Rattus norvegicus: one gene and its partners. The protein of the gene in region 1 interacts with the protein of each later gene in a biochemical or structural test. Links are inferred from orthologs where the notes say so. Each region holds a gene or a part of one and is shown in the gene's direction. Other genes may lie near its edges.

Region 1 (4,275 bases):
GCTACATCAAAGAATAAATAATAATACCTTAAAAATGAACACTTGTGTGGTGCTACATATCCTTGGTCCTAGCACTTGGGAGGCAGAGGGAGTTGGATCTCTGAATTCAAGGCCAGCCTGGTCTACATGTTGAGATTTATGACAGCTAGGGCTATGAAGAGAGACCCTGTCTGAAATAAGTATTTTATATCAAGAGAATTGAATGTAACTTTTTGTTCCTGAAAATGAAAATAAGCAGCACCTAGGAGGCTGGAGCAGGAGGATTGTTTTTCAGAACAACCCCGACTACATAGTGAAACCCTGCCTCAAAGAGAAAGGTCCAATTTATATATCTTCAACAAAATTGGGCTCATGGGTGAACTCTAATTATACTTTGATATTACAAGCAGCCTTAATCTTTCATGCTTTGGGAGTTTGTTATAATTATAGCTCTAGAATTCCTTACGTAACACTTCTATATTTCTTATAAAATTATATGTAGAACATAGAAATAGGATGGTATAGGGTATGTGTGCTTAGAGCTTGAAAGCAGGGCTTCATATAGGACATTTACTTTGTTTTTTCTTTTATACATTTATTTATTTATTATATGTGTGTGTGTATGTGCGCGTGCGTGTGCGCGTGCGTGTGCGTGCGTGCGTGTATGTGTGTGTGTGTGTGTGTGTGTGTGTGTGTGTGTGCAAATCAGAGAACAACCTGCCCATTCTCTCCTTCCAACATGTGGTCCCCCAGGGACTCACTCTGTCAGGAGTGGTAGTGATCACCTTTTCCCACTGAGCCATCCCTCAACCAAATGTTTGATTCTAAATTGATGTTCTTGAAGAGGACCAGAATTTGGTTCCCAAGACCTACATTAGGTGATTCACAACTGTCTGTCTATAACTCCAGCTTCAGAGGATCCCATTCCTGACCTAAGGCCTCACAGGCACCTAAATACAGATTGTGCACACACACACACACACACACACACACACACACACACACACACACACACACACACACACGTCTATCTCTCTCTCTCTCTCTATCTATCTATCTATCTATCTATCTATCTATCTATCTATCTATCTATCTATCTCCCAAATGATGCCCTCCAACCCCTTCACAGAGTTCCTCCCTCTTCCGTCCACTCCTTTACCTCCGAGAGGGCACCTCTGCCCCATATCTCCCACCCTAGTGCATCAAGTCTCTGCAGGATTAGGTGCATCCTTTCCCCCTGAGGCCAGACAAGGTAGCCCTCTGCTACATATGTGCCAGGGAATTGGACCAGCCCATGTATGCTCTTTGGTTGGTGGCTCAGTCTCTGGGAGTTCTCAGAAGTTCAGGTTAGCTGACACTGTTAGTCTTCCTGTGGGGTTGCAATCTCCTTGAGAGCCTTCAATCCTTCCCCTAACTCTTCCATAGGGATCCCCAACCTCCATCCAATGTTTGTCTGTGGGTATGTGCATCTGCCTCAGTCAGCTGCTAGGTAGGCTCCTGTCGTAATTAGGCCAGTTGCCTCCACTCCCCTTAGTTGTTATGCTGTGTGTCCATCAGTGGATTCGCCCGTCTGTGCCAGAACGCCTGAGTTCTGACACACACCTCTATTTGGACGTGGTGCTATGCACCTGTGCAGCAGAGGCAGGAGGACTACATCATACTTGGGGGTAATCTCCAGTGTAGAAAAATGTGGAACAACTTCCTTTCTGCCATCTTGTCCTGCCACAGCTTCTCAGCCCCTTTCTCTGACTTTTTTTTTTTTTTTAAAGTATGTGTGTGCCTAAATGCCATAGCACATACATGGAGATGAGAGGATATCTTTTACCATGTGGGTTCCAAAGATTGAACTTGTGTTGTCAAGCTTGGTGGCAAGCACCTTTCTTTATCCACTGTCTTTGTGGTCTCCATAGTTTTATTTAAATACAGTGGAGCTATGGTGATTCAGAATAGCCAGATACCTATATATTAAAGTTGTTAGCATGCTATATATTGGATAGATACTTTTGCTGTTGTTCTTAACTTTTTTCCCCCTTTCAACTCACAGAAACGATAGAAAATTCCCAAGGAGCCTACCAAGAGGCATTTGATATAAGCAAGAAAGAGATGCAACCTACACATCCGATCCGCCTGGGGCTGGCTCTTAACTTTTCTGTATTTTACTATGAGATCCTTAATAATCCCGAGCTTGCCTGCACACTGGCTAAAACGGTGAGATCTGTTGAGTTCATGCCTCTTTATAAGGGTGTTTAAGAAACTAAGTACATTAACTTTTAGGTATTTGGGTGCTCAAGGGAGGCCATTTTTATGTGTGTTAGACACAGTTTCTTCATTAGTGTCTCTTCCCCATACCTACCTCCCAGCCCCTAAATAGTTCTCTCACTGTGATTCTAAATAGTAATGTCTGACTGAAAAGCCTAGAGGGCAAAGTAGTAAAAGAAGTAAAAATAACTTTAGGCAGGAAACATCAAATGCTGGAAAGGAGTGCCTGCCAAGTTTGGGCAGTAGAAGCCTGTATCACCCTCCCCTGGTGTCTTAGAAGGGCAGTGTAACTACATTAGCTCTTGTAAGAATATGTAAGTGTTGTTAATATACTGTGTATCTTGTGAAAGAACCAACAAGTGTTTATGTAAATACTTAGAGTGAGTTTCACGATATAGTAATTCTCTTTATTTTATTTTATTTTATTTTTTTTTAAGAAGCAGAGCAAGTATTGCTTTAGTAAGGAAGGGTGAGGCCAGAACTCTCCCAAATGGGAGGAACCTGAAGGAAGAACCTTCACAAAATCTTAAACTAGATCTCCAAGGGACTACTTCCCTAGTGTTACCATAATGTGGTGGTACACAGGGTTGTATTTGCAGACTGGCTAGCTTCTGTTCCTGAATTGACTATATTACTCGCTGTTTAACTTTACCAGGCTTTTGATGAAGCCATCGCCGAGCTTGATACACTGAATGAAGACTCCTACAAAGACAGCACCCTCATCATGCAGTTGCTTAGAGACAACTTAACAGTAAGCTATTCCGTGTTGTATGTCTGTTTTCAGAAACAACAGTAACTTCATTTTGATGTTCATGCCTTTTGGAAGCAGGTATAGAAAAGCTATAGCCTCTTTGTTGTTATTTTGGGGACAAGGTTTTCTCTCTCTCTCTTTTTTTTTTTTTTTTTTTTTTTTTTCCCTTTTTTCTTTTTTTCGGAGCTGGGGACCGAACCCAGGGCCTTGTGCTCGCTAGGCAAGCACTCTACCGCTGAGCTAAATCCCCAACTCCCAAGGTTTTCTCTTGTGTAGCCTTGGCTGTCCAGGAACTCACTCTGTGGACCAGGCTGGCTTCAAACTCACAGAGACCAGCTTGCTCTGCCTCCCAAGTGCTGGGGTTAAAGGTGTGCACTAATACTGTATAACTAGAGCTCCATAGTCTCTTACAAAATTTGGAGAAGTGTCTTCATGGTGAAGAGGTATTTTATCAAACCTTTCTATGAAAGTTATAGGAACACAGTGTTATCATTGCTATTTGACTTAGTTGAACACAATAACAGTTAATGTAGAGAGCTTGTATAATTCTAATATTTCCTTTCTTTGAGTAAATTAGGAATAACAAATTAGGGATTCTGTATGTGTTAGAATCTCCTTATTTTACCAAAAGTTTACGTGGGAGGGCTAGAGATGATTGAGTGGTTAGGAACATCGATTGCTCTCTCAGAGGACCTAGGTTTGAGTCTCAGTGCCCACATAGTGGTTCACAATGGACAAACTCCAGTCCTAAGGGATCCAACACCCTCTTTCTGGCCCATGGACACTGTACATACACAGTATTCAGGCAGCATGCCTGTGCCTACAAAGGTTTAAAAAATTAAGTTGTTTTTGGACACTTGATAGAGGGTTTTCTTGTTTGTAGTCTATTGCACTGTGGAAACATGATGACTGAAAAGCATTGGGAAGAGAAGAATTTATTACAGTTTTTTCAGAATTGATTTATACTCCACCGTAGAGGGAAGTCAGGAGCTAGGCGGTGGTGGTGCACACCTTTCATTTCAGCACTTAGGAGACAGAGGCAAGAAGATCTCTGAGTTTGATTGAGGTCAGCCTGGTCTATAAAATGAGTTCCGAGATAGCCAGGACTACACAGAGAAACCCTGTCTCAGAAGAAGAGGGTAGTCAGAGCAGGAACTGAAGCAGGGGCCATGGAGGAGTGCTGCTTTTACTGGCTTGTTTCCATGACGTGCTCAGCCTTCTTCCTTTTATTACTCAGAAGCACATGCTCAGGAGTGACACTTCCCATGCTGAAGCTAGGTCCTCCC
Region 2 (4,761 bases), on another chromosome or scaffold:
ATCAAACTCAAGGCCATCCTTGACTGTAGAGAGTTCAAAGCCAGCCTGGCTGCATGAGACCCAGTCTCCGAAGAAAAATATACAGAATCACAAATGCGGCCACAGTGAAGATACTTAAGAGGCCCATAACCATGTCTTGTGAGTGTATAATGGTTATTCATCTAAATAATGACTAAATTAACGACCTTTCCTTCACTCTGGTTCCTCCTGGTATTATTTTTGTGATGTAAGACTGGTAAGGATTAAGCAATTATCACACTTGAAACACTGTCATGTACATAAACACTATGTGCTACTTAGTACTTTTATGGTGATTTGAATGAGAATGGCTCCCATAGGCTCATATGGTTGAACGTTTGATCCCCACTTGATAGGACTGTTTGGGAGAGATTTTAGAGTAGGCACGGCCTTGTTGGAACAGGTGTGTTGATGGGAGTGGGTTTTGAATTCTTAAAAACCCAAACCAGGCCCAGTTCTCTTCTCTTCTCTCCTCTCCTCTCCTCTCCTCTCCTCTCCTCTCCTCTCCTCTCCTCTCCTCTCCCCTCCCCTCCCCTCCCCTCCCCTCCCCTCCCCTCCCCTCCCCTCCCCTCCCCTCCCCTCCCCTCCCCTCTCCTCTCTCTTCTGTCTGCCTGCTATCTGTGGATCATGATGATGTAAAGCTCTCAACTACTACTCCTGTTTCAGCCTGGGCTATAGAAGAAATTCTATTTCAAAAATTAATTTAATTTAATCAGAGCCTGGAACAGGAATGGTGGCACATGCCTTTAATTTCAGCACTCAAGAGACAGGGGCAGATGGATCTCTGAGTTCAAAGCTAGGGCTATACAGAGAAACCCTGTCTCAAAAAAGAAAAAAGAAAGAAAGAAATTCAAAATCAGAGCCTGAAGGACTGTGAAGGAAAAGAGGGATCCACGGTACTGTACTACACAGAGGAAGAACCAAAGCCAAGTCCAGATGGCCTTCCCTAGTCTCTATGTCTCCTAAAAGTGCACACAGCACTAGGCTCAGCAGCTCAGACTAGGTGTGTGACCGGCCTAGCACACTCTATGGGAACTACACTACCCAGCATGCAACTGGAAAGGAGCGAGATAGGGGGGGCCTTTTGGTCCGGACTAGCGCCCTCACAGGGAGTTTCATTGACTTCTCTGCTCCTTTCTCATTTCTGCCACCTCCCAACTCTTCAGGCCTCGCCCCCATGGAGAGAGGGAGTGACCACGAGGAGGCCCGCGAGATGCTTCCTCCTTTCCTTCTCATTGGTCCAGCTCAGCTGTCATTCGGGAGCGAGGAGAAGTATGCTTCCTGATTGGTGAGTTCCGTTTGGCGCCAACTAGGGAAGGGGCGGGGCGGCGGCTATCCTGAGTGTGCAGCAATTAACGCTAAGGCCACTTTGGTGGTGAGGGAAGTGGAGGTTCCTTTCCTCTGTGCCGGGTACCGAACGAAGAGGAAGGAAAAAGTGAGGAGAGTTAGTCCGGTCGGTGGCCTCAAGACTCTGGCTCCGCGGAGTTTGTTTGGATTTAATCTTGAGGTTGCAGGCGCCCGCCCGCCTACGGGCCTCGCGGGACACAGAGAGAGAAGCACCGGTGCTTGTGCCTGGCGCCTGCCGAGTCCCCGACGCTCGCCCGTCCGCGCCGCTGCCCGTGGCGGCCGCGTCTCTGAACCGCGGGGTCGTGTTTGTGTTTGACCCGCGGGCGCTGGCGGCGTGGCACGCGGCTGAAGCCGGTGCCAGCGGGGCGGGGCCCGGCGCAGCGGAGGCGGAGGAAGACGGAGCGGGAGTCCGGGCAGGCCCGGCGGCGCCATGGAACTGGGCCCGGAGCCCCCCCACCGCCGCCGCCTGCTCTTCACTTGCAGCCCCACTCCTGCGCCGCAGCCCACGGGGAAGGTGCTGTTTGGCGCGTCAGCTGCTGGCGGACTGTCCCCTGTCACCAACCTGACGGTCACCATGGACCAGCTGGAAGGGCTGGGCAGGTGAGAGACTGGCGAGCGATGCCCCAGGCCGCTGGCCTCTGGTCGGCCCTCGGGATGACCTAGCAGGAAGCAGAGTCTGTCCCCCTGGTTCTGGTGCCCGGATCCGGGATGGCCTGGCCAGGGCCCGCCATGTGCACCCTCCCCCCGGGCGGAATGTTGGGCGGGAGAGGCCGTTCGGATAGTCCAGGGCTATCCTCAGCCCGAGCCAGACCGGAGGTCAGGGAAGCCTGCTGGGCATCCTGTCTTGTTCACCCCTTTCAGATTTCAATCTACTCTGTCTCTATTCCAGAAAAGTCTTTGGAATCTACCCTTACGGGGGGAAAATGGCCTTCACTACCACTCTTTGCTGAACCACCCGCGTCGGATCTTAGTTTCCTGTAAGCTTTGTTCCTTCTCAACAAAGGGACATGGCATTTTCTTTTCTTGCATTTGTGCAAAATCTATGCAGCCGCTTGGCCCGCACGTTTCTTATATCTACCCATCTACCTTTTTACAGCTATCACTTTTTAAACTAACTTTTCTACATTGGAAATCTTGGTGGACTTAGTAGCTCTACACCACTACCACTAACAAAAATGCTTTTAGAGAAGTTGCTTTTCCTTCGGTGTTGGGCATCTGGCCTCCTAAACGTGCCTTTCGACTTTTCCAAACCCTGAAAAGCTGGGACTCCTGGCCTAGTCACCTTTGCCCTTATTCCTAGCATGGTACCTCAGACTGAGGCTCTCATTTAAGGAAACAACCCAGCCTTTGCCACAGGCATGTCTTACAATGTGGTCCAAGGCCAAGCCACTCACTCCTTTCTTTGTTTAAATGCCAACTGGGGTATTCTGGGTGGCCAAGTGTGAGTGTGGGGTGTCCTTGGCTTGGTCTCTCAAGATGGTTTGTGGCAGCCTGGCTACTTCATAACCCATCTCCTGTATGTGTCCTTTTAGTCAAATACTAAAAATAGCTCATGTGGAGGTATTTCTCTTGGTTTCAGTGACTATGAGAAACCAATGGACGTGAGAAATAGCAGCAGTCTACAGAGAATGGGCTCCTCTGAATCGACTGATTCAGGTATTGTCATTACTTATGTGTATGTATGTGCTCATGTGTGTAGGTAGGTGTTTAGATCGAAAGGCATCAGAGCTCTGAGGCTGGAGTTACAGGACATTGTGAGCTGCCTGATATGGTTGCTGGGAACTGAATTTGTCCCCTCTATAGGAGCACCAAGTGCTATTAACCACTGAGCCCCTTATTTTTAAAAGTTTAATTAAATCTATTTATTTTGAGACAGGGCCTCACCATGTAGATCACATTGGCCTCTTGCCTCTTGAGTGCTGTGGTTAAAGGCATGGGCCACCATCCCCCTGACCAATCCAGGCATTTGTTCAGCCTTCACCATTCATTCATCTGGAGTCAGCCATTCTGGAAGTGTCTTGCCTAGGAATTTAATTGGTAACAGTATACATAGAAATTATGATGTGGAGTGACAAACACCCTTCCTTCAGAGGGAAGGAGGGAGCTCCTGAGACAGTTTATGGAGAGAAAAGAGTGCGGAGTCTTCCATGTCTTTAAGTGTGTGCTTTTCTATGTGTGGATGTTGGCTTGCATGCTTCTCCTGTGTGCACACGGTGTGTACTTTCCTTGAAGGCCAGGAGAGGGTGTCATTTGCTGGAGCCGAGTTAACGGGCATTAGCCTGTGTGGTTGCTGGGAATTGAACTCAGGTCCTCTATGAGAGAGCAGTTGTGCTCTTCTGAACCATCTTTCCAAGACTGTTTTTTTTTAAGATACAATTTCACAGTATACACCAGATGGGCCTCTTGGAACTGAACTTAGCTGGTTGTATTTTTCATACCCCTAAGTGAAGTATATTTGGGGGGGGGGAGCTCCACAAAAAGATTTAGGGGTCAATACTATCTGAAAAGTCAATCTTGATACTAGCTGGCCTCTTCAATCTTGTTTCTCTGATGGTATTTGCAAACAGAAGAGGGTCCATGGACATACTAAGAAAATGTTGCTTAACACCAGAATGTATATTATTTTCTAAGAATTTTGTTTTTATTTCTCAAAGGTTTCTGTCTAGATTCTCCTGGGCCCTTGGACAGTAAAGAAAAGTATGTATTCACTACTTTAAATTTTTCTACTTAGTAGGAAAGTTTTCCTTACGTCAGCCTAGTGGCACAGGCCTGTAGTCTCAGCTACTCAGGAAGTCAAGGCAAAAGGATCAAAAACTCAAGGCCTGTCTTGGCAATTTAGTAAAACCCTGTCTCAAAATAAAAAGTGCAAACTTGGCAATAGAGCGCTTGTGTGGTGTGTGAGGCCCTAGACAGGGTGAATCCCTAGAACCTCAAAAGAAAAGACAAGAGAAACTTGAGGGTTGGTTTTTGATTGGAATCTTATTACAAAGCCCTGGCTTGCATGGAACTAGAAGTCTGCCCGCCTCCTGGTGCTGGGTTAACGGTATGTGTTATCACTCATGGTCAAAACTTGACTTTTGAATGAAGTTCTTCACAGTGGACTAGAGCTCTGCAGTTAGCTGTTTGTAGTGAATTGTTGGGTGCTGGAAACACTGCTGGCAATGAATGTTGCTTCAGGTCAGCAGTTGGCAGGATTTCCCCTCCTGTGGTTTAGCTGTCATTTCCCCAGCTCTACTTTTTGACACTTAAATGAATGGATGTGTGTATTTTAGGAGACATCACGGGGTTTTTTGGTTTTGTTTTATTTTTGTTTTATTTTCAATGGAGGGTGCTCCTGAGACCAGGAAACACTATTCTTGCCTATGCTACAATGAGAACCTGACATGCCTCTCCTCC
Region 3 (4,820 bases), on another chromosome or scaffold:
ATTGTTTGTGCTTTTATGGGTGCTTGTGTGTGGGTGCTGGTAGAAGCCAGAGGGCATCAGTTCCTCTGGAAATGGAGTTACAAAGGGTAGTGAAGTGGATGCTGGGACCTAACCAGGATCTCTGGGAAAACAGTAAATGCTCTTAATCAATGAGCCATCATTCCAGCCCATTATGTAATATTTATTTATTTAACTTTTGTGTATATGAGTGTTTAGCCTGTATGTGATCTGTGCAATCTAGTGGAAGCCAGAAGAAGGTGTCATATCACCTGGAACTGTAGTTAGACAGTTGTTAACCACCATATGGATACTGGGTAATAACCTGGATTGGTTGAGAGAGCAACCAGTCTTCCCTCTTGATTTCTGAACCATCTTTCCAACTTGTAAAAATCTATTTTAATTACATTTTAATTTAGCGTATAGGTTAGCATGCTCATGGAACAATGTTTTAGACTTGGTTCTCTCCTTTTACTATGTGGGTCCCCAAGGATCAAACTGAGTTATTTTGCTGGCCTTTGTTATGTGATTACATGCCCCCAAGATCACACAAGCATTTTTCTCAAAACTAAGCTATATCCTAGAGGTTTGTGCCTATCTACAACTGTTAAGTTTCAAAGACGCTGACCTGGTGCCTGTCCCAGGCCTTGCAGAGGAATGAGGGGACTCAGTCAGTATGAGACTGTCGGGTGGATATCTAAAAGCCAAGATAGTCTGGAAGATGGGCAGGTGTGCAAAGCAGGAGACGGGGCAATAGGGTGACACTACATTGACTCACATGTTGATAGAAAGGTTGAGTGATAAGGTGGATTTTATGAGCTAACATACAAACATGCGGATGGGAAGTTGGCGTTAGGTTCAAAGGACACCAGTTGTAGGAACAGCTAATAGCTGTAATTTCTTTTTTTTTTTTTTCGGAGCTGGGGACCGAACCCAGGGCCTTGCGCTTGCTAGGCAAGCGCTCTACCACTGAGCTAAATCCCCAACCCATAGCTGTATTTTCTAAATCAAACAACAGGTACAGGTGACCCACGCCTGTTCAAGGTTTGAAAATAAACGAGGGGCTGGGGATTTAGCTCAGTGGTAGAGCGCTTACCTAGGAAGCGCAAGGCCCTGGGTTCGGTCCCCAGCTCCGAAAAAAAAAAGAACCAAAAAAAAAAAAAAAAAAGAAAGAAAATAAACGAAAACTGACGGAAAGAAACGAAGAGATATACTCTTAACCTCGGCAGTTCTCGGGTGTTGCCGGAAATGGCTGACTACCGCTCCCGGCTGAGCGACGGAACGGGGGCGTGGCCGGCTTTGCACACGCGGAGCCTCTTCGGCTGTTTCCGGAAACTACCGAAAGCCTGCTCCAAGTGGGCGGAGAAAAGCTGGTAGGCGTGGCTGCTGGTTGGCTGTGGAGGTGCGGAGAGGATCTTCGTGGATTTCCGTAAACAGTGCCGAAGCTTGGTCTTCGGAATCTAGGAGGTGCGCGCGTCCCCGGGGATTACCTTCTTCGGTAGTTTCCGGAATTCACCCATAGTCTGGGCTGAGAGGAAAAGGCTCTTCCCCCTCCCGTTCCTAGTTGTTTCGGATGTTTCCGGCTCTTGCCGGCGGAAAGAGCCGAGGGCTGGCGGTGGTGGCGGCCATGTTGGGAGCAGCAGGTCCGGCAGCGGCTGCCTGTGTGTCGGGCGCGGAGCAGTGCGGCTGAGGGCAGGGGAGGAGCGAGGCAGGCGGCCGGCTGCGGCGGTTGAGAGTAGGCGGAGCGGCGCGGCCGGGCCGAAAGGCGGCACAACCCAGCCGGGGGTCGGGGGGGTGCGGTCCGGAGCCGCTCGGAGCCGGCGAGGCCTAGCCCGAGCGGCGCATCACCGGGCTGGCGTGAGCCATCGCCCGGCCTCCCCGCACCCCCGGCCGGGGCCCATGCAGCGGGTGCTCCTGCTGTGAGAAGCCCCGCCCGGCCGGGCTCCTAGCCTTCCCTTTCCTCCCTTCCTCCAAGCTTCTCCGTTCCCTCCCCTGAGATACCGGCGCCATGTCCAGCGCTCGGACCCCCCTACCCACGCTGAACGAAAGGGACACGGAGCAGGTAAGGAGCCCTCGGGGCTCCCCTAATTCTGTGGCTGGGCCATTGCACCTTACGAAGGCTCCCTCCCTCTGCTCTCCTCGTGTTCCTGCTTTCTTCTGCAAGCCTAGACTGTCATCTGGCCCCGGATTCCAGCCCTGCACATCCCTCTTCCGAGTCCAGACCTGGGACCCACCTTGTCCTGACTGAGCTGCACACTTGTATCTCTGCCAAACGCCCCTCGCCTCTCACCGCCCTCCTGCGCTCTTCCGTGCTATCTCCCCAGCTTCCTTCTCTTCCCTTTTCTCTCAGGGGCCTTTCTGGTCTTCCTCCACCCACGCTTAAAGCAGCCACCTTCCTGCTCCTCGATTTGCCGCGGATTGTTGCCCACCTCTTTCTGCATCTCTAGCTTTGTACCCCCTCTACCCGCACCGGCTCTCAGTCCTCGGTTTTCTCCCACAAGAGTCCGTGTCTCGGAGTGTGTTCTCGGTCCCTATGCCCTTTCACTTCTCCAGCTTTTTCTATCCTCCTTTTCTGTTCCAAATTGAGCTCTCCTTGTTGCTTGCAACCCACCAGCTCCACCCTCGTCACCTTTCCAAATCGTTCGCCTACTCTTTGCTCATCACTTTCCCTTCTTTTCAGCAGGAGCTCCCAGGCTCCTGGCACTGGCATGTGTCGCTTCCGTGTTTCCCATACAGCTGTCATGCGCATAGTTTTCCCACAGGTTGCCTTTGGGGTTCCAGTCACCGCTCCCTTCAGAGGCTTTGCATCGCTCCTGCTCTCTTCCCCTTGGGGTTTGGCATTTGAGTCCCTAGGCTTTCTGTCTGTGTTTGAATGCTCTTCCAGATTGTCCCTGGGTTCTCCCTCTACCGTGGGAAAGACGGTGTTTTAGCCTGGCTGTATTAACGTAACCTGTTGCTCAGTCTTTTGCCGGCTGCATCAGCTGCATCAGTCCCTGCTTTACTGCCTACTTACACTGCAACACAAATTCGGATACTGTCTTTCCAAACCGGTGTCTGTCACTTCTCATAGTATCATAGTATCTTCCTCCTTGTTTGCTACTTCCTATTGCTCAACCTTCCTCCTCTTTCATACTATGACTCCGTAATCAGTGCTGCCTTTCCTGTCCTGATGGGTCTCCTATTCCTCTCACTGTCTGTTTACACCTTGTATGCTCTGTCCCTTCCCTTTCCGTTGGCTAGCCTTTGCCATTCCCAGGGTGGATGCTAACTGCTTGTGCTGTGGGTCAGCAGCTGGGCCTTGTGCTCTCCCTTTCATCCTGGCAACCACTGCTTTTTGTCACCCAAGCTTGTGCCTCTTCTCTGTCGTCCTCTTTACACTTGTCTCTTTTGTCTCACTGTCTCTAGTGTCCCTTGCTCCCTGCCTTTTGGACAGTCCCTTGCCTGTCACATGTTTCTGGGTGAATTTTACTAAACACAGACATGTTGGAAGGGGGCATACTTAGCGCATCAGCACCCTTTGTGTTTCCCTCTTGTTCCCTGCTTTCTTTGTAGCCAGGTAGGCTAGTGCTGCTGCTGTGTTTGCTTAGCATCGACTTCCTTCTTTGTAAAGCCCTCTTCATCCCTTTTTCCTTTCCTGTACTTTTCTGCTTTGTTCCTCTCTTGCTGTCTGTACCTGGGCACTTGGGAACTAAGGAGGTATCAGGACGGAGTTTCTGTCACCGTGGACCTATAATACCTATGGACTGTTTGCTGTTGGGGCAGAGCAGGGAGTTGAGAGGGAGGGATGGTTGATTTATTTCATGCCTGGGTCTGGCATGCCACCAGGAAGCTAGGCCTGCCTGGGACAGAGATCTTTGGAAATTGAGGAGCTTGGTCTGTGTTGCACAGTCCCTTGCTTGCCAGCTGTATCTCTTCTGGGAAACACTTTGTCCAGCTCTTTTGAGGCTGTTCTGTACGTACCCTTTTCTCCTACCTTTCTTTCAGTAGCTAGACTTCGATTAACTGGAGAACTTTCCTAGACTTGATTATGAGCAGGGGGAAGGAGGCCAAGTGACTGACTGGCACCTTCAGGCATTTGGGGAGTGGTTGACCTGCCTGTTCCCTAGAGAGGCTGTGGGGGCATTGTGTTGGGCAGAGAGAGTGGCCTCAGTATGGTTTTTTGTGCTGTTTATTAAGCGCAAATGCATTATTGGTTTGTGTGCTCCGATGTGCTTCACACAGTGTTGGATCATGGAGGTGAGGTTTGGCGCATGTGCACTGATTTCAGGAGAGTGGTAATCAGTGGCCAGTTTGGCACATGAGCTGCTCTGTGATAACTTAGTCCAGAGCAGAAGCTGCCTTGTCACTCCGCTCCTTTTTGGCTTATTGCTATTCCTCACGAACTGAGCTGTATGGAGTCAGTCCCTGATTCTCCACTCACACTGCCAACTTCATGTTCCACAGCCTCCTTTGAAAAAACTTGGACTTGGAAAAGCTCGATGCACACCTATTACAGGTGCCTTGCTGTCTCTTTTTGTTTCTTGTGCTGCTAAAATTTGCTCTTGATAGACAAGTGCTCTATATTCCCCAGGCCAAACCTGTATGCTTTAGAAAAATTTTAAAAAAACCAAGAGTCCTCAGCATTCACCTTCTTTACTAGGTGAAACCGAATACCTTCTCCTCAGTCCCTTTGCAAATAGTAAACCATTGTGGGAGCTCAGGCCATTGCTGTCACCTCAGTGTTAGGAAATAAAGAGCAAAGAATTTGGCTGGGCAGGTCCCTCTCCACTGTCACCTTATTTAGATTTAAATTACTTAAACTGGTTTTACCAGAGAATAAGTAA
Region 4 (4,275 bases), on another chromosome or scaffold:
ATAGTCAGCAGGGCTGGGGACAACCAGTGTTTCTTTGGGAGTAAGCAAGAGAAGACTCTCCACCATTTACTCCATGCTTGAGTTTGTGATTCTGTCCTTACTGCTTTGACCTCAGGATGATGATATGGTCCCCGCAGGCATGGAGAACCTCATTAGTGCTCCACTGGTCAAAAAGCTGGATAAGGAAGAGGAACAGGTGATGCCCAGTAGTGCCCCCTCGGAGCTAAGGGGACATGGGGTGGAGGGACCAGGCTCTGACTCCTGCCATGTTACCTTTGCCAGGATCTCATCATGTTCAGCAAGTGCCAGCGGCTTTTCCGCTCTCCATCCATGCCGTGCAGTGTGATCCGGCCCATCCTCAAGAGGCTAGAGCGGCCCCACGACAGGGACGTGCCTGTCCTGAGCAAGCGCAGGAAGAGTGGGACACCCCTGGAAGAGCAGCAGCTTGAAGAACCCGTTAGTTCCGCCCTCTGGGGGGCTGGGCTGCTCACCTGGGGTGTGTTTGGGCTGCAGATGCTCTGGGTGTCCTCTCCTGGGCAAAGGTGCAGCAGTGGGTAGTGTGCAGCTGGTTGTTTAGGTGGCAGGGGAAGGAGGTCTCAACCAAACAGCACTGAGAGGCAGTCTCTTCCCTCACCCTGGCCTCCGTCTGCCTTACTTTCCAGAAGGCCCGGGTCTTCCGCTCAAAGTCCCTGTGTCACGAGATTGAGAGCATCCTGGACAGTGACCACCGTGGCCTGATTGGAGATTACTCTAAGGTAGCATTCTAGGGCTTCAGGAGGCTTCTTTCACCCGCTCTGGAGCCCTAATGCAGGACCCATCTGTCCCCAGAGGTCCCCCCTTCCCTCTGTGTCTTTTCATTCTTGTTCTCATGCAGACTCTTCCCTCTGGGTCCCCTTCCGATGCCACCTCAAATCTGTCCAGGCATCTCATCCTCGAAAAACATTTCCAAATCAATCTCTGGTATGCAATCTCCTGCCTCAGCCTTCGGCTTTCAAACCCAAGAGCAGGAAGCAAGAAGGTCTAGGGCTTTTCCTTCCTCTTTTACCCTCAGAAGGTTGTTCCCTGGGTGCAGGCCCCCAGAGGTTTCACTCAGCTGAATCTGAAGGCTGAGGCCGGTGTTGCCTCTGTCCTTCCAGTCTCTGTGTCTCAATGTGTTTCCCTGACTCTGCCTCATCCCTCCCTTCAGGCCTTCCTCCTGCAGACTGTGGATGGCAAACACCAAGACCTCAAGTACATCTCACCAGAAACTGTAAGCAGGGTTGAGCCACTCTCCAGGTGCATTGGGGACCACCTTCTCTTGGCTCTTGTCTTCCTCTGGGGATGGGCTGCATGTATAGACTATCGGAAGAGAGAGGGAAAACCTTGACTACAGTCTCACCTGCTGGCACCAACCCTGATGGCCTCCTACAGATGGTGGCCCTGTTGACAGGCAAGTTCAGCAACATCGTGGAGAAGTTTGTAATTGTGGACTGCAGATACCCCTATGAGTATGAAGGCGGGCATATCAAGGTGAGACGGGTGCTGGTAAGGCCAGGCCCTCCATTCAGATTCCTTGCCGAGAAGATGAATAGCCTTCCATGGTGAATTTCCTATGGGGAGGATTTCTGCTCAGCAAGAGGTGGGGTTACTTACCTGGGAACTGAACAAGAAGGGCCATGGTGCAGGCTTCAGCTTGACCCCCAGATCCTCTGACAGAATGCTGTGAACTTGCCCCTGGAACCGGATGCCGAGACCTTTCTGCTGAAGCATCCCATCACGCCTTGTAACCTGGACAAGAGAATCATCCTCATTTTCCACTGTGAATTCTCATCTGAGCGTGGACCACGGATGTGAGTCCTAGCTCTGTCCCATCCTTGTGGTCAGTGGCCAGCCGGGGCCCACCCTCGGCTTTCTTTGCCTGGTACTGAGTGCCAGAGCATCTTGCTGCATGTGATAGTTTAGAGCTGACCTCAGCTCTCCTGTTGTAGACGACGTATCTTACCATTGTCTTCCTTCCACCCACATCATCAGACCGTCTTCGGTCCGTTGCTGCATACCCACAAAACGTAGTGCCAAGTACAGTAGCATCCTTAAAATCTGAGGATACTGTGACACTCAAGCACTTGGAACCCTGCTACTGTGCTGACGACCACTGGGGTCCATTGCTTTCCTTCAGCCGTCTTTCCTCTGTCCCGGTGTTCATGGTTATTCTTCTGCCTCCTGGTCCAGGGTGGCCACCAGCTCCACCTGGCAGCTGTTAGCATCTGTCTCAGCGGACCAGAATCTCCTTCCCATTCCCTATACACGAACTTCACCCCTCTAGCACAGGGTTCCAGTTTTCTCATATGATTCTTGCTGGGCAATGGACCAGTCACGGAGCTTCACTTTTTTGATCTTTCCGATCCTCCCTTCCCATCTTCCCTTGAGTCCTTACCACCTCTGATCCAGGAGACCCTGGAGTATATGTGGTTTTTCTATGTTGCTGTACCCAGTGTCTGCTACCTAGTAACCAGTCTTGCCTAGCAGGTGACATGCCTGTGCTGAGAAGTCTGTGCACGTGGGGGCTCTTAATGCAGTGTGTACAGGGCATGGTCTCTTTCCGGCATGCGACCTGCCCTGAACCACCTCCCATGATACTCCAGGTGCCGCTTCATCAGGGAACGGGACCGTGCAGCTAACGACTATCCCAGCCTGTACTACCCTGAGATGTACATCCTCAAAGGCGGCTACAAGGAGTTCTTCCCGCAGCATCCGGTACCATGGGTGGGATGGTCACAGCTCTCCCATCGTGGACTGTAGGAACAGGACCCAACTAGGCTATAGGCCCTACCCATACCCCCACCCCCAGCCCCCAGAACTTACTCTTTCTCCCATACTGATGGACTCTTCTCATCTTCTCATCCCCTAGAACTTTTGTGAGCCCCAGGACTACCGACCCATGAACCATGCAGCTTTCCGGGATGAGCTGAGGAACTTCCGCCTCAAGACACGCAGCTGGGCTGGGGAACGGAGCAGGAGGGAACTCTGTAGCAGGCTGCAAGACCAGTGACGAGCCAGCCTCAGTCCTGCCACCATCCTTACCTCAGGAGGCTTGCGAGCCAGTGGGTCCCATGGGCCTATGCGGCCACCTACTTGCTAGAGGCCTCAGGTGCTATAGGGGGTTGGGGGGATGGTGTGGTGTCACATCTGTCTGTCCCTGTCCTCAATTTTCCTGTCTCACTCCACTAATTTTCTGTATCTTGGTACTGATCCCATCTTAAAGAGCTGAACCAATGGGTGAATACCAGCTAAGAGGAAGTCCTTTGTGTTCAATGAGAGCCCTTTTACAATCTCCTTTTTCCTTGTTTGTGTTGACTCCTTGTCTTACCCCTTCGCAGGGAGAGCCTCAGCCCTTTAAGATGAGCACAGTAGCTTCTTGGGTAGCCTGGATGCAGGACGCTACACTGCTGCACAGGGCTGTGTCTGCTCTCCTCTCCTGGCCTCTGCACAGATTCCTCCATTGGAAGCATAAGTGCTTACTTTTCCTGTTGTCGTCTTACCCATAGCTTTCATTTTCGTCTGTCTCACTTAGCGTGTCCCAGGACACACTGACAGCTGGGGAGGCTCCCTTGTACAGCTGGGGACTAGAGATTCAAATATCATGTACTCATTAGGCTTGGCTTTTGTTAGCCCACAAAGGGATCTTTTCCTTTAAGACCCCCAGAGCTAGAGCAAAGGCCTGATTCAGGAGCCTCTGGGAGCCCCATCCTCACTGCTGTGAACCCTAGAGCCTCGCTGGTCAGCACTTGTTGCTGGGCAATGAACCAGTCACTGAGCTTCACTTTTTGGTCCTTCTCTGTCCCTCCCTGTCCCTCTCTGTCCTTCTTTCCATATCTGGTCCTGAGTATGCATGGTTTTTCCGTGTTGCTGTACTAGTGACAGAGTCTAGGCCCTTTGTTGGATGGTCATGGATGCACAGTGCCTTGTACACATGTATGCACACAAATCGAGTGAAGTATTTTGGTAAGCATGATGGCCTATGGCAGGAGTGTGTGTGTGTGTGTGTGTGTGTGTGTGTGTGTGTGTGTGTGTGTACAAAGTCTTTACACTTAGCATTTGGAAATATTAAAGAAATATTGTCATAGGGGAGGGAGGAAGAAGCAACTTTTGGGTTCAGAATCTACATATGAAAAGGTCATGCTGGAAGGCCCCCAATGCATCCTCTGTTGGGGCCTTGGTTCAATAAAGCACTGAGCAAGTTGAATAATCTGTTCGTTTATGCGGAGCTGCTGACCAGGCCATAGCAGACTGGATGGT
Region 5 (4,798 bases), on another chromosome or scaffold:
GTCTATCTTTATTTCTGATCTCTTGGTTTCTAACACCAAGCCTCTATCTGAGAATGGGACTCTGTAAAGCCTTATAGATACCCTGGGTGATGTTGGGGCGCCTCTCCCCTACACTTTGTTTGCTGCTAGAGCCCTTCTATGTACCAAATGCAATTCTGTGAGGTCCAATCAGCACACGGTAATACTCCCCCGTCCCTGGAATGGAACACTATCATTTGAAAGTAACTGCATCTAAGAGTATATTCCAGAACTTCCTCATGTAACTTTTGTTCAGGTTCGTATTCATCAGTACTTACTTCGTATTTACTCAGTATTCATCAAATCTCTGATTATTGCACATCTTTATCCTTTCAAGTACTTCTGAACTTCATGTTTCATCTAAATGTTAGCAGGCTGCAGATCCTGCATTATTTTGTATGTAAATTTGGTAGTGTACTTTTCTATAAGCAGCTGCACTGGCACTCCTAAGTGCGGTCATTTTCTTCTACTCTTTTTGATTCCACAATTCATCCCTTGGCTTCGCAGCTGAGCTATCCTAGCGTCTGAATTTCTCCCAATGAACGAAGCTCTCTAGTTCACTATTACCCTGAGATAATGAAAAGAATCTATTGCATTTTGCGAATTGTTTTCATCCACATACCTTCAATTATCCCCCAGTCACGGATCAAAAAATACTATTCGGTCTCTATTCAATTCCTACAAGTCAAGGCCTAGTAGACAGGCCAGCATCCTAGGACAGTCAGACCATGTAGGGTGGACCAGATGCTCTCTCCTTCGTTCTAGATGTGAGATTCTGGAAATACCATGCACACAGGATGAGAAATTGCACTACTCTCCTGATGAAAGGTAATGGACCCAGGGGCGTCAGAAGCATGATCTTTCATGCCCATCCACACCCGGGTACGCCACTTATAGGTGCTTGACCCAGGTCTAGAAGAACCCCAGCAAAGAAGGGGTGGGTCTCAGCAAACCGGGACGCGGTGGCGGCGACCCAAAGCCTACACCTCCGCCACAGCAACGGTCCCTGAATTCCCAGTTCCCACGGCCACGCAAGGGCCCATAGTCACAGCCGCACCCCCAAGCGGCGCGCCTGCCCCGGGGCAGGGCGGGGCCCGCCGCGCCTGCGCACTCCCTCTGGGCTCGGCGTCCCCCGCACGCAGCCCACGTGACCTGTGCCTTGCCCAAGATGGAGGTTGCAGCCAGGCCTGACCGGGCCCCCGTCACAGTCTGCGCTCTTGCGCGCCCCCTTAGAGCATGAGACATGAACTCAGGCACACTATATTGACCCGGGCAGCGCCGCGGGCTGCCGAGGAGGTCTGTCAACAGCATCAGTCAGTACGTGCACCAGCTCCCTGCTCTTTCTCCACAGCGAAGCTCTCAGAGCTAGCGCCTGGAGAGTCCTCGGTACGCCCCGCTCACTAGTATTGACAAGGCCGGGAGCCAATGGGGTTTGTAACTTTTGAGAGAGGCCGATCGAAGGCGGAGCCCCTTTGCAGCGCCCGCGAAGCGGGGGTGGCTGTTGGGCTATTGTAGGGCGGACTTAGGACTCTCGGACCAATGGAAGAGCAACTGAATTCTTGGAGGCGGGGCCGAGCCGTAATTGACGCTTTCTTCATTAGAAACCAGGCAGGGGGCGGGGCCCACGGGGGGAGGTGACGCAAAGCCGTTGCAGCCAATGGCTGGTGGGCCGACGGCGGGAGGGGCGGGGTTGGAGCGCCTGACGGGCGTAGGGCGCGGCCTATCCCCGCGCGGCTCTGCGCTCGAGGGGGAGCAGCATCATGGTTCAACGTGGGTCAATTTTTTGTGAATGAGGAGGGGAGGTTGTGGGGCCGCTGCCGCGGAGCACCATCCCCGCCGCCGCCCGAGCCCGAGCCCGCGCGCCTGCTCGCGCCGCCGCCGTCGCCGCGCCGCCTCACGCCCGGCCCGCTCAACGCGACTGCTGTCGCCGTCGCCGCCCGAGCCCGCCCGCCCGCCGGCGGCGGCGCAGGCTGAGGAGATGCGGCTCGGAGCGCCCGAGCAGGGCTAGACGCGGCCCGCCGCCGCCGCGGTAAGCCACCGGCCGTCATTGTCCGCGCCGCCCGGTTGCTGGCGGCAGGTGGACGCCCGGCCCCGCCGAGGCCTCGGGGCCCTGCGCCGCGGGCTGGCGGGCGGGAGAGCGGCCTGCGCCGGCGGGCGGGCAGGTGGGCGCGCGGGGGCGGGGGCCGGGGCGTTTATGTAACTTTGTCAGCCTGTGAGTTTGCAGAAAACGCCCCTCGGCGGCGGCGGGCGGCGGGGCGGGGGCCGCGGCTGGGCCCGGACGGTCGTTGGGCTGGCGAGAAGCTGCGCTAGCCCGGGAGACGACCCGGTGTCCACCCTGAGCGAGCGTTCCGAAGGCACGGCTGTAGCCCACACCGCCGGAGTCGGTCGGAAAGGCCGGGTGTGGAACCCGTGTTCTCCTTTAATGCACACGGAGAATTTGTTAATAACTTGCAGCCGCTGATAGCAGTGTTTTGGTTATTGCATGCTGTAAATTGACCTGCTGTGACACGATTTTCAAATAAAGCGTCGCAGAAATTAAACTTAAGTTATTTTAGAACTAATGACTTTCTTAACTAAATCCTAATTGCATTACTGTAGAGACCTACCTAATTGCTTTCCGAGAGCCACTCTGCCTGCTCGGGGAGGAAGGAAAGGCCTGTGTAGTCACTTTGCCTCCCTGCTTTTCTCTGCTCAGGCGTTTCTGCCTGTTCCCACAAACCACCTAAGCATTTAAGGCCTGCGGAGTATTAACGTGTAAACAGCCATGGCCCTGTCGCACTTTGGGGCTAGGGGGATGCTGGCGGCTTGCACCTTGACCTGGTTTCGGTTTTTCCTCCGTGATATGATCGAGGTTGCCAGGAGTTTTAATTGCTTCTGATAATTCCGTGCATTATTTCAGGACCGGCTTGATGAAAGCTAGTGTGGTGGTTTCAAAATCCATCCAGAAAGAAGGTGGTGGTGGTGGTGGTGGTGGTGGTGGTGGTGGTGGTGGTGGTGGTGGTGGTGGTGGTGGTGGTGGTAGAACGCTTGTGAGAGGCAAGGAGGTTGAATTAAGAAAACTCAGCTGCTTCTACACAAATATACACTATAGCAGTTACAAGGCAGCAAAAGTTATTGCAGAATTTTGCAGTCTCTATGGCAACACAATTACTCCATTATAATTGGAAATGCAAAATGCCACCCAGTTAGAAGTTTCATCAGAATGGAGTTTTGGATATCAAAAAAATATGCGAGATTTAGTTAAAAATTCTCATTTTTCCCCAGGTAGCTTCTGCAGCTCTAGTCTAGGTTCAATTGTCTATTTTTAAGACCCATTCGCTTTCCCAGATCTGCCACTCCTCGGGATCTGTGGCATCTTTCCCCAGAAGAACTCCCCGTTTGTGTGGGAGGGAAGTATTTTCATGCTTTAAAAACACACACCCGACACACTGTAAGACTTCTATGGCTTTCTGTGTTCTGGCTTTTCTTTTAAAGATCAAATGCCTTCCTGAAGAGCAGTAATCACCCAGAAGAGGCTGGGTTTGCTAGAAGGCCGAGGTAACACTGCCCCCTTTAGGGGTCTGCCGGCTGCTTACCGGGTATCTGAGAGCCCTGAGGGGGAGAGAATGACTGTGGACTGCAGAGAGGCCTGGAAAGCCTAGGGACCAAGGACAGATGTGACCAAAGCAGCCCTAGCAAGAACATTCTGTGGTTAGCAGCGTCAGGGAGCTGGGCAGCATATAAAGCCCCCAGGTGGCACCTTTGCAGAAGTCAGGGGCTGCTGCTGTGCGAGGTGGCAAGAGAACATGGCACTCTTCACGGGGCTCCTGGCACCTAGCTTGACTTTGGTTTCGAAGCTGTGTTAGGATGATGCCCCTCTTGATGTTTACCAGAAGAGCTCTGGTGCTGGAAGTTTCCACACATCGTGGGGCTGCTGCAGCTTAATTTCGTTATAACCCTTTCCTTTTAACTACTGCATATTTTTGCCCAGTAATCGACTTCCATTTTCCAGCCTCATTGTGAGGTTTCAATGCAGCATGAATGGCTTTGAATTCCAATCCTTTGATGTTGGGGGTGGCACCAAAGGAAAGGAGACTTTGTGCCGTCCTAATTGCCAGAGCAGAAGAAAATTTCATCACTCCTGTCGAGCCTCGTCCATGCCATTTTCTATTGAAAACGGCTGGTTTTTCAGAACTCTGAAGCTACCATAAGTAATACATTAATACCTGACGTGGGGAACCAGGGAGATGCAGAAATGAGAGACACCTGCTGCACAGGGAGATTGGGGGTGGGGCTCAGGCCCAAGACCAGGGTTTTTGATGTCTCTGGGCCCTGGGGTGACTGAGCAGGCTGAATCCAGAGTTGAGCTCATGTCCCATTGGTTGAAACCCAGCCTTGGGGAGGGGTCCCAAGGAGATTTTTGGGAATGGCTTTGTTTTGATCTCCAGTGACCATCTTGTGTCCTGCTGTTCATCCACCTCTGGGCATTAAGTGTGACACTGACCTTCGAGGTTCAAATGACTGAGGGGCAGAGTCAGAAGCGCTGTCGCATTTGAACAGATCCTAGTCCATTCCTGCACAACTCCCTGAGCGGTCTGTCAGGAGGTCAGTTGTTTGCTCTTGGGCTCAGGTGAGTGAGCAGGATGGGCTTTGTTTTGGGCGGAATGTGGACTGCCATCTGCAGCTGCTCTTTGCTTTGCTGCCACCCTTGCCTCTCTGACATGCCTCCTGGAAGGCCAGACGGGGTCCACACAGACGGCCTCCACTGAGAAGTAACTGAACCAGGTCAGGACACTGTAGG
Region 6 (4,740 bases), about 27 Mb from region 1:
GCCAAAGAGTGATCCTTTAAAACATGTTAATACATTCACTGGCCTGTTAAATCCTTCTCAATGGTTCAGCGGTGCATTGAGAATAAACCAGAAACAAATTAGTACAGCTTTCAAGAACTGGTTTCTATCTGCCTGCCAGCCTCATTTCTTTCGTGCCTTCAGGACAGCAGGTGTAGTTGATCCTCTCTTGGGGTCTTTTCTCTTCATATGACTAGAAGGCCATTACCTAAGCTTGTCTTAAGACTAGTCCTTTCCATCAATCAGGCCTTGGCTCAAATGGAAACACCGTAGGAAAGATCTGTGTTCTTTACTGGCCACAGTACTTAGCCTCATGTTCTTGATCATGGTTACTGCTGTTTGTCAACCATACTGATAATTAGGGCAACACAGTGTTACACTGTTAATTAGGGCAATTGTTGCTATGAGAACTAACTTTATTTACTGTCTTACTTTTCTATTTTCAATGTAATCTGTTATGGCAAGAACATAGTCAAACTTCATAAGTGGATGGCTAGTGCCAGCAGACTCTGGGACAGCAGTCCTCCTTTCAGAGCTAGGATAGCTAGAAAACACAGATGTCTCCCACTCTGGCCACTCTTAGGTAAAACTAGGTGCTTTAAAGTACTCTGTAAACTTAGGAACAGCACCCTTATCCTGTCTACCCAAGCAGTACTTTGTACCACCAATCTAGAGAGTTTTCTAGAATAGTGAATGACTATATGTAGTTGTGAATTTTAAGATTCCATCACTGACATAAGACACAACCCTGTAGAAAACCACATTTCAATGAACCATTAGTCAAGACAAGACAAACAAACAAACCAGAACAAAATTAACACACTGCAAAGAAAACATGCAAAAATTGTTTTGTGCTTGTGCATGTAAGAGGAAACATTGGGGAAGCTGAAGTGAGAAGTAGGGCTGCCAAGATCTTCAGAATTCTCAGAAGGTTTCTGATGCTTTTCATTGCAGCTTGTTAAAGCAAATAGGGCTCCTGTACATCTACAAACTCAAAGAACCGACCCCGAAACAAAGACAGAAATATAATAAGGCCTAAGTTCTCCGAAGAACCTCTTTTTGCTCAGCCACCAGTATAATCAGATCAAAATTAGTGCTGTGGATGTGGGGCAGGAATCACTCCTAGAAAGTCAGGTTTAGATTGACAGTTTTGAAGAGGCTGAAACACAGAAGTTCCAAACACAAAACAAAGTAGAAAGCAAGAACCCTATTCAGACCTTGCTCTTGCCTGCCCTTAAGAAGGCGGTGGGTGGAGCAGGTGGGGTTGATGGAAAGGGTACAGACTATTACTAGAGAGACAAGGGTTTAAAGAAGTCAGCTGACTGGGCGCCTACCCTTTAACAAACTCGAGGGCTCCCAGAGGGAGTCCCCTGTTAAGTGGGCTCTGCCGGGCTGGCATTCCCGGGTCTACTCCTGTAGGATCCTTTGGAAGGGGTGGCCAGGACTGCCCTAAATGGGCGGGTCCGCGGCGCTAGTGTCCGCCGAGTGGGTTGGGGCGGCTGCTGCGCACAGGGGGCGGCTCCCCGCTGGGCTCCCGTTCCCCTCCTCGGCTCCGCGGCGCCGCCCTCGCCCCGCCCCGCCCCGCCGGCGCCGACCGCGCCGACCCGCCGCGGTCCCCGGAGCGGAGCGCGCGGCGGCGGCAGTAGCTGGGCGCCTCCCACGCGCTGCCGCGTGCCCGCCCGCTCGCCCGCCAGTCTGCCCGTCCACCGGCCCCGACTCCGCTCGGCCATCTTCGCCGCTCCCGCCCTCGCCAGCCCGGGCCGCGCGCCCTGTCCCCGCGCGCGGACTTTCCCGGAAAGTTTGGTGGTTGTTTTCGGCCGCCGCAGGCAGCGGCGCCGCGCCCCACCTCCGCCAAACTTTGGGGCTCACTCGCGCCATGAGCGCCCCTCCGCTACTACGGCCGCCTAGCCCGCTGCTGCCCGCCGCGGCCGCTGTGGCCGCCGCCGCTGCTGCGCTGGTCCCGGGCTCCGGGCCCGCGCCCTTCCCAGCGCCTGGGGCCGCCCCGGCGGGGGGCATCTCGTTCCATCTGCAGATCGGCCTGAGCCGCGAGCCGGTGCTGCTCCTTCAGGACTCCTCTGGCGACTACAGCCTGGCGCATGTCCGGGAGATGGCTTGCTCCATCGTGGACCAGAAGGTAAGGTGCCCCGGGTCCGCCAACTTTGCAGCCGGCCTCGCCCGCGCCGTACAGCCTGGTTGTGGCCGGGTTGCATGCTCTTACCCCAGGCACTGCTCTCCGGGCCGCGCAGTCCTCCCGGGACTGACCTCCAGCCCTTCTTCGCTGGCATGTCTGCCTTCTCACCTTTACCTCCCTTCCTCCGGTGACAGTTCAAGGAATCTTACACTTTTCTCCTTGCGCTCCAGCATATTTTTGAGATTTCCTGGCTGTCCCGACTCCTTTCTCTGGACCAGAGCCTACCTGGTGTCAGATCCACTTCCCAGCACCAGAGTTCCCTTGGGACAGCCCTTCGCTTTTTCAGCACCGCTCCCTTCCACTCCATCCTCTTTCAGCTCTAATTGATGCTGCGGAGTTCCGGGTGTGACCTGGACGCCAGGGATTTCTCACCTGCCAATAGTGCTTTTAAGAAAGGGTGATTGATTAAGCCAGCTGTGAAAACAACTGAGCAGTTGGTGCACACTACCCAAGTCCTCCCTGGATTTAGTACCACCTCTGTTGGAGCTAAGAGACATTTTCCAACAATAAAACCTGAAATTTACAGCATTTTGTGCTTAAATTTCCATCCACTGATCTTGGGAGACTGGAGTAGTGAGAGGGTCTGTAGTTCCAAGAACATCCAGTGCTGGCTTTGCCCTTAAGTTTGAGGCGATGCGATTCTGGATAGCGGTCATCAAAGACTGGTTGGAGAAAGGCTCATAAGGCTGGGCTTGGCCACCCACCATTGTTTCCAATGATGAATTCCACTTTTGAAGTTAGGTTATCTCCACAGCCATCCAGAAGGATGCTTCATGTAAGGTGGAGGACCCTTGCATGTGCCACTCCTTCCCAGTGTGGACAGCCAGGGCTCTGGGGGAGGAGAGAGAGATAGAGGAGAGGGTTAAAGGTGCTGAATTTCAACCTTGGAGGGCTGACTGGCTACTTCTCACCTTTTAATGAATAGTCACCATCTTAAACTGTTTGGAACAAAGTGTCCTACACTTTTTGAGCACAGAGTTCTAGGGAATTGCTCCTGGGAAGCACTCACTAACCAGGAAGTGAAAATTCTAGAGGCCAGACTCAAGTAACAGTGAGTGCCTTGAAGTTTGGTTAATTAAAGGGAGTGATTTTTTTCCTTATGTAATTGAACTCTTTGTAGCTCCCTTGAAGTACTGAATTCAGTCCTCCCTCTTCCTGGAGATGGTGAACATGCAAGCATTCTAGGCTCTGACGGCCTCACTATATAGCTTTCAAATGTTTCTGTTATGAAATGGATTGATTGATTATAAAGCACTGCCACACAGGCATACACAACACATGTAATAAAATCATTCACAAAGCCCATTCAGTTCCATAACAATTTAACAGGACGTTCTAAAGAAGATGGTATAGTGTTAGAATGTCCCAATGGGCTAGATTAATGAGGACAAACTTTGTTTTGACCTGCTTAAACTCTCTCTTTGTCTCTGCCTTCCTGCCCCCCCCCCCCACGGTGTGTCTGTGTGTCTGTCTGTCTTTCTGTCCTTGAAGTTGTGAATGGTGAAATACGATTCAAGAGGTTTGGGTTGGGCTTTTGAAGAAGAGTGAATTTCACTTGACTCAGGGGGCTGCTATCTGGGGAGTGTTATCAGCACCCAGGAGAAGTGTAAGCAAGAGGACATACAGGTGCAGCAGGCTGGAACTTCCTCAGTAGGAGATGTAGGGAAGGTTCACTTATGAGAAAAGTCTTGAGATGATTAGAAACTTACATTGTAAAAAACTCAGTAATCTTTTCAAAAGAGATAACCAGACCGGGCGTATCTGAGATCCACATTAGCTTTGTGGAGGGTGTTTTAGAATGGCAAAAATGTAATGGCAGAAAGAAAACTGGAGTACAGTCAAGTGCTGTTTATATCTGAGCCAAGACTTGGGGAGAGCTGGAGGAATGCTGGAAAGAGAAGGGCACCAGTCTTGCTGGCGCTTTCTAAGGGGAATCCTTTCTTTATTGTGTTTATTTTGTAGCTTTTCACCAAAAGAAAAGTTTGAAAACTTTTCCTGGGATAACCATAGCCTTTTTTTAAATGGGTCTGGCAAGGTTAGAAATTTTGAAATGTGAATTTTATAATACATGATATTATAAGTAAAAATACTAAGTTATGGGTCTAAACAGTGTGCCTCTTCAGTTATTCTCTCATCTATCGATGTAGATATCAATAACCTATTATCTGTATCTGTCTTCATCATCTATCATCTCTCCAGCTGTCTGTGTCAATCATGTAACTATCAATCACCTATCTGTTATCTCTCTACCTATGCACCATTTGTTTGTTATCTATGGATCTTCTGTATCGATTTTTGGCATATGTTATTTGCCAAGACAGAATTCTTGTGCTGTGACAGCAAGAGTGGGTAGCTTGCTAGTATAGAGGTAAGGAAGTGGGAGGGGGCTTTTGTCCTTTGTCTCATGGTTTCTCTTAAGCTTCAAGAAGATAACAACTGTGAGGAAGAATGATGGGGGTGGGTGGGAAAGAGAGAGAGAGAGAGAGAGAGACAGAGAGAGAGAGAGAGAGAGAGAGAGAGAGAGAGATCTA

Evidence for each region.
Region 2: the proteins of Ywhaq (region 1) and Cdc25a form a complex in vitro, tested with the Homo sapiens proteins (2 studies listed by BioGRID, with this or other methods). The link is inferred for Rattus norvegicus from reciprocal best matches to the Homo sapiens genes YWHAQ and CDC25A.
Region 3: the proteins of Ywhaq (region 1) and Mark2 form a complex in vitro, tested with the Homo sapiens proteins (2 studies listed by BioGRID, with this or other methods). The link is inferred for Rattus norvegicus from reciprocal best matches to the Homo sapiens genes YWHAQ and MARK2.
Region 4: the proteins of Ywhaq (region 1) and Cdc25b form a complex in vitro, tested with the Homo sapiens proteins (2 studies listed by BioGRID). The link is inferred for Rattus norvegicus from reciprocal best matches to the Homo sapiens genes YWHAQ and CDC25B.
Region 5: the proteins of Ywhaq (region 1) and Hdac4 are reported together in a solved structure, tested with the Homo sapiens proteins (2 studies listed by BioGRID, with this or other methods). The link is inferred for Rattus norvegicus from reciprocal best matches to the Homo sapiens genes YWHAQ and HDAC4.
Region 6: the proteins of Ywhaq (region 1) and Prkd1 form a complex in vitro, tested with the Homo sapiens proteins (2 studies listed by BioGRID). The link is inferred for Rattus norvegicus from reciprocal best matches to the Homo sapiens genes YWHAQ and PRKD1.

What each region holds. Positions count from the first base shown.
Region 1 is NC_086024.1:46,667,160-46,671,434, reverse strand, and holds part of Ywhaq (14-3-3 protein theta), read left to right. Parts: intron 1-2,023; coding exon 2,024-2,187; intron 2,188-2,893; coding exon 2,894-2,989; intron 2,990-4,275. UniProt on the Homo sapiens protein: Adapter protein implicated in the regulation of a large spectrum of both general and specialized signaling pathways. Binds to a large number of partners, usually by recognition of a phosphoserine or phosphothreonine motif.
Region 2 is NC_086026.1:118,741,496-118,746,256, forward strand, and holds the start of Cdc25a (M-phase inducer phosphatase 1), read left to right. Parts: upstream 1-1,552; 5' UTR 1,553-1,795; coding exon 1,796-1,965; intron 1,966-2,254; exon of another isoform or gene 2,255-2,342; intron 2,343-2,944; coding exon 2,945-3,021; intron 3,022-4,019; coding exon 4,020-4,062; intron 4,063-4,761. UniProt on the Homo sapiens protein: Tyrosine protein phosphatase which functions as a dosage-dependent inducer of mitotic progression. Directly dephosphorylates CDK1 and stimulates its kinase activity. Also dephosphorylates CDK2 in complex with cyclin-E, in vitro.
Region 3 is NC_086019.1:213,951,938-213,956,757, reverse strand, and holds the start of Mark2 (serine/threonine-protein kinase MARK2), read left to right. Parts: upstream 1-1,608; 5' UTR 1,609-2,005; coding exon 2,006-2,059; intron 2,060-4,820. UniProt on the Homo sapiens protein: Serine/threonine-protein kinase. Involved in cell polarity and microtubule dynamics regulation. Phosphorylates CRTC2/TORC2, DCX, HDAC7, KIF13B, MAP2, MAP4 and RAB11FIP2. Phosphorylates the microtubule-associated protein MAPT/TAU.
Region 4 is NC_086021.1:138,866,066-138,870,340, forward strand, and holds the end of Cdc25b (M-phase inducer phosphatase 2), read left to right. Parts: intron 1-115; coding exon 116-196; intron 197-282; coding exon 283-456; intron 457-662; coding exon 663-755; intron 756-1,186; coding exon 1,187-1,249; intron 1,250-1,410; coding exon 1,411-1,509; intron 1,510-1,695; coding exon 1,696-1,829; intron 1,830-2,621; coding exon 2,622-2,733; intron 2,734-2,887; coding exon 2,888-3,028; 3' UTR 3,029-4,222; downstream 4,223-4,275. UniProt on the Homo sapiens protein: Tyrosine protein phosphatase which functions as a dosage-dependent inducer of mitotic progression. Directly dephosphorylates CDK1 and stimulates its kinase activity.
Region 5 is NC_086027.1:100,194,550-100,199,347, reverse strand, and holds the start of Hdac4 (histone deacetylase 4), read left to right. Parts: upstream 1-1,710; 5' UTR 1,711-1,788; exon of another isoform or gene 1,789-2,047; intron 2,048-4,798. UniProt on the Homo sapiens protein: Responsible for the deacetylation of lysine residues on the N-terminal part of the core histones (H2A, H2B, H3 and H4).
Region 6 is NC_086024.1:73,771,280-73,776,019, reverse strand, and holds the start of Prkd1 (serine/threonine-protein kinase D1), read left to right. Parts: upstream 1-1,613; 5' UTR 1,614-1,894; coding exon 1,895-2,152; intron 2,153-4,740.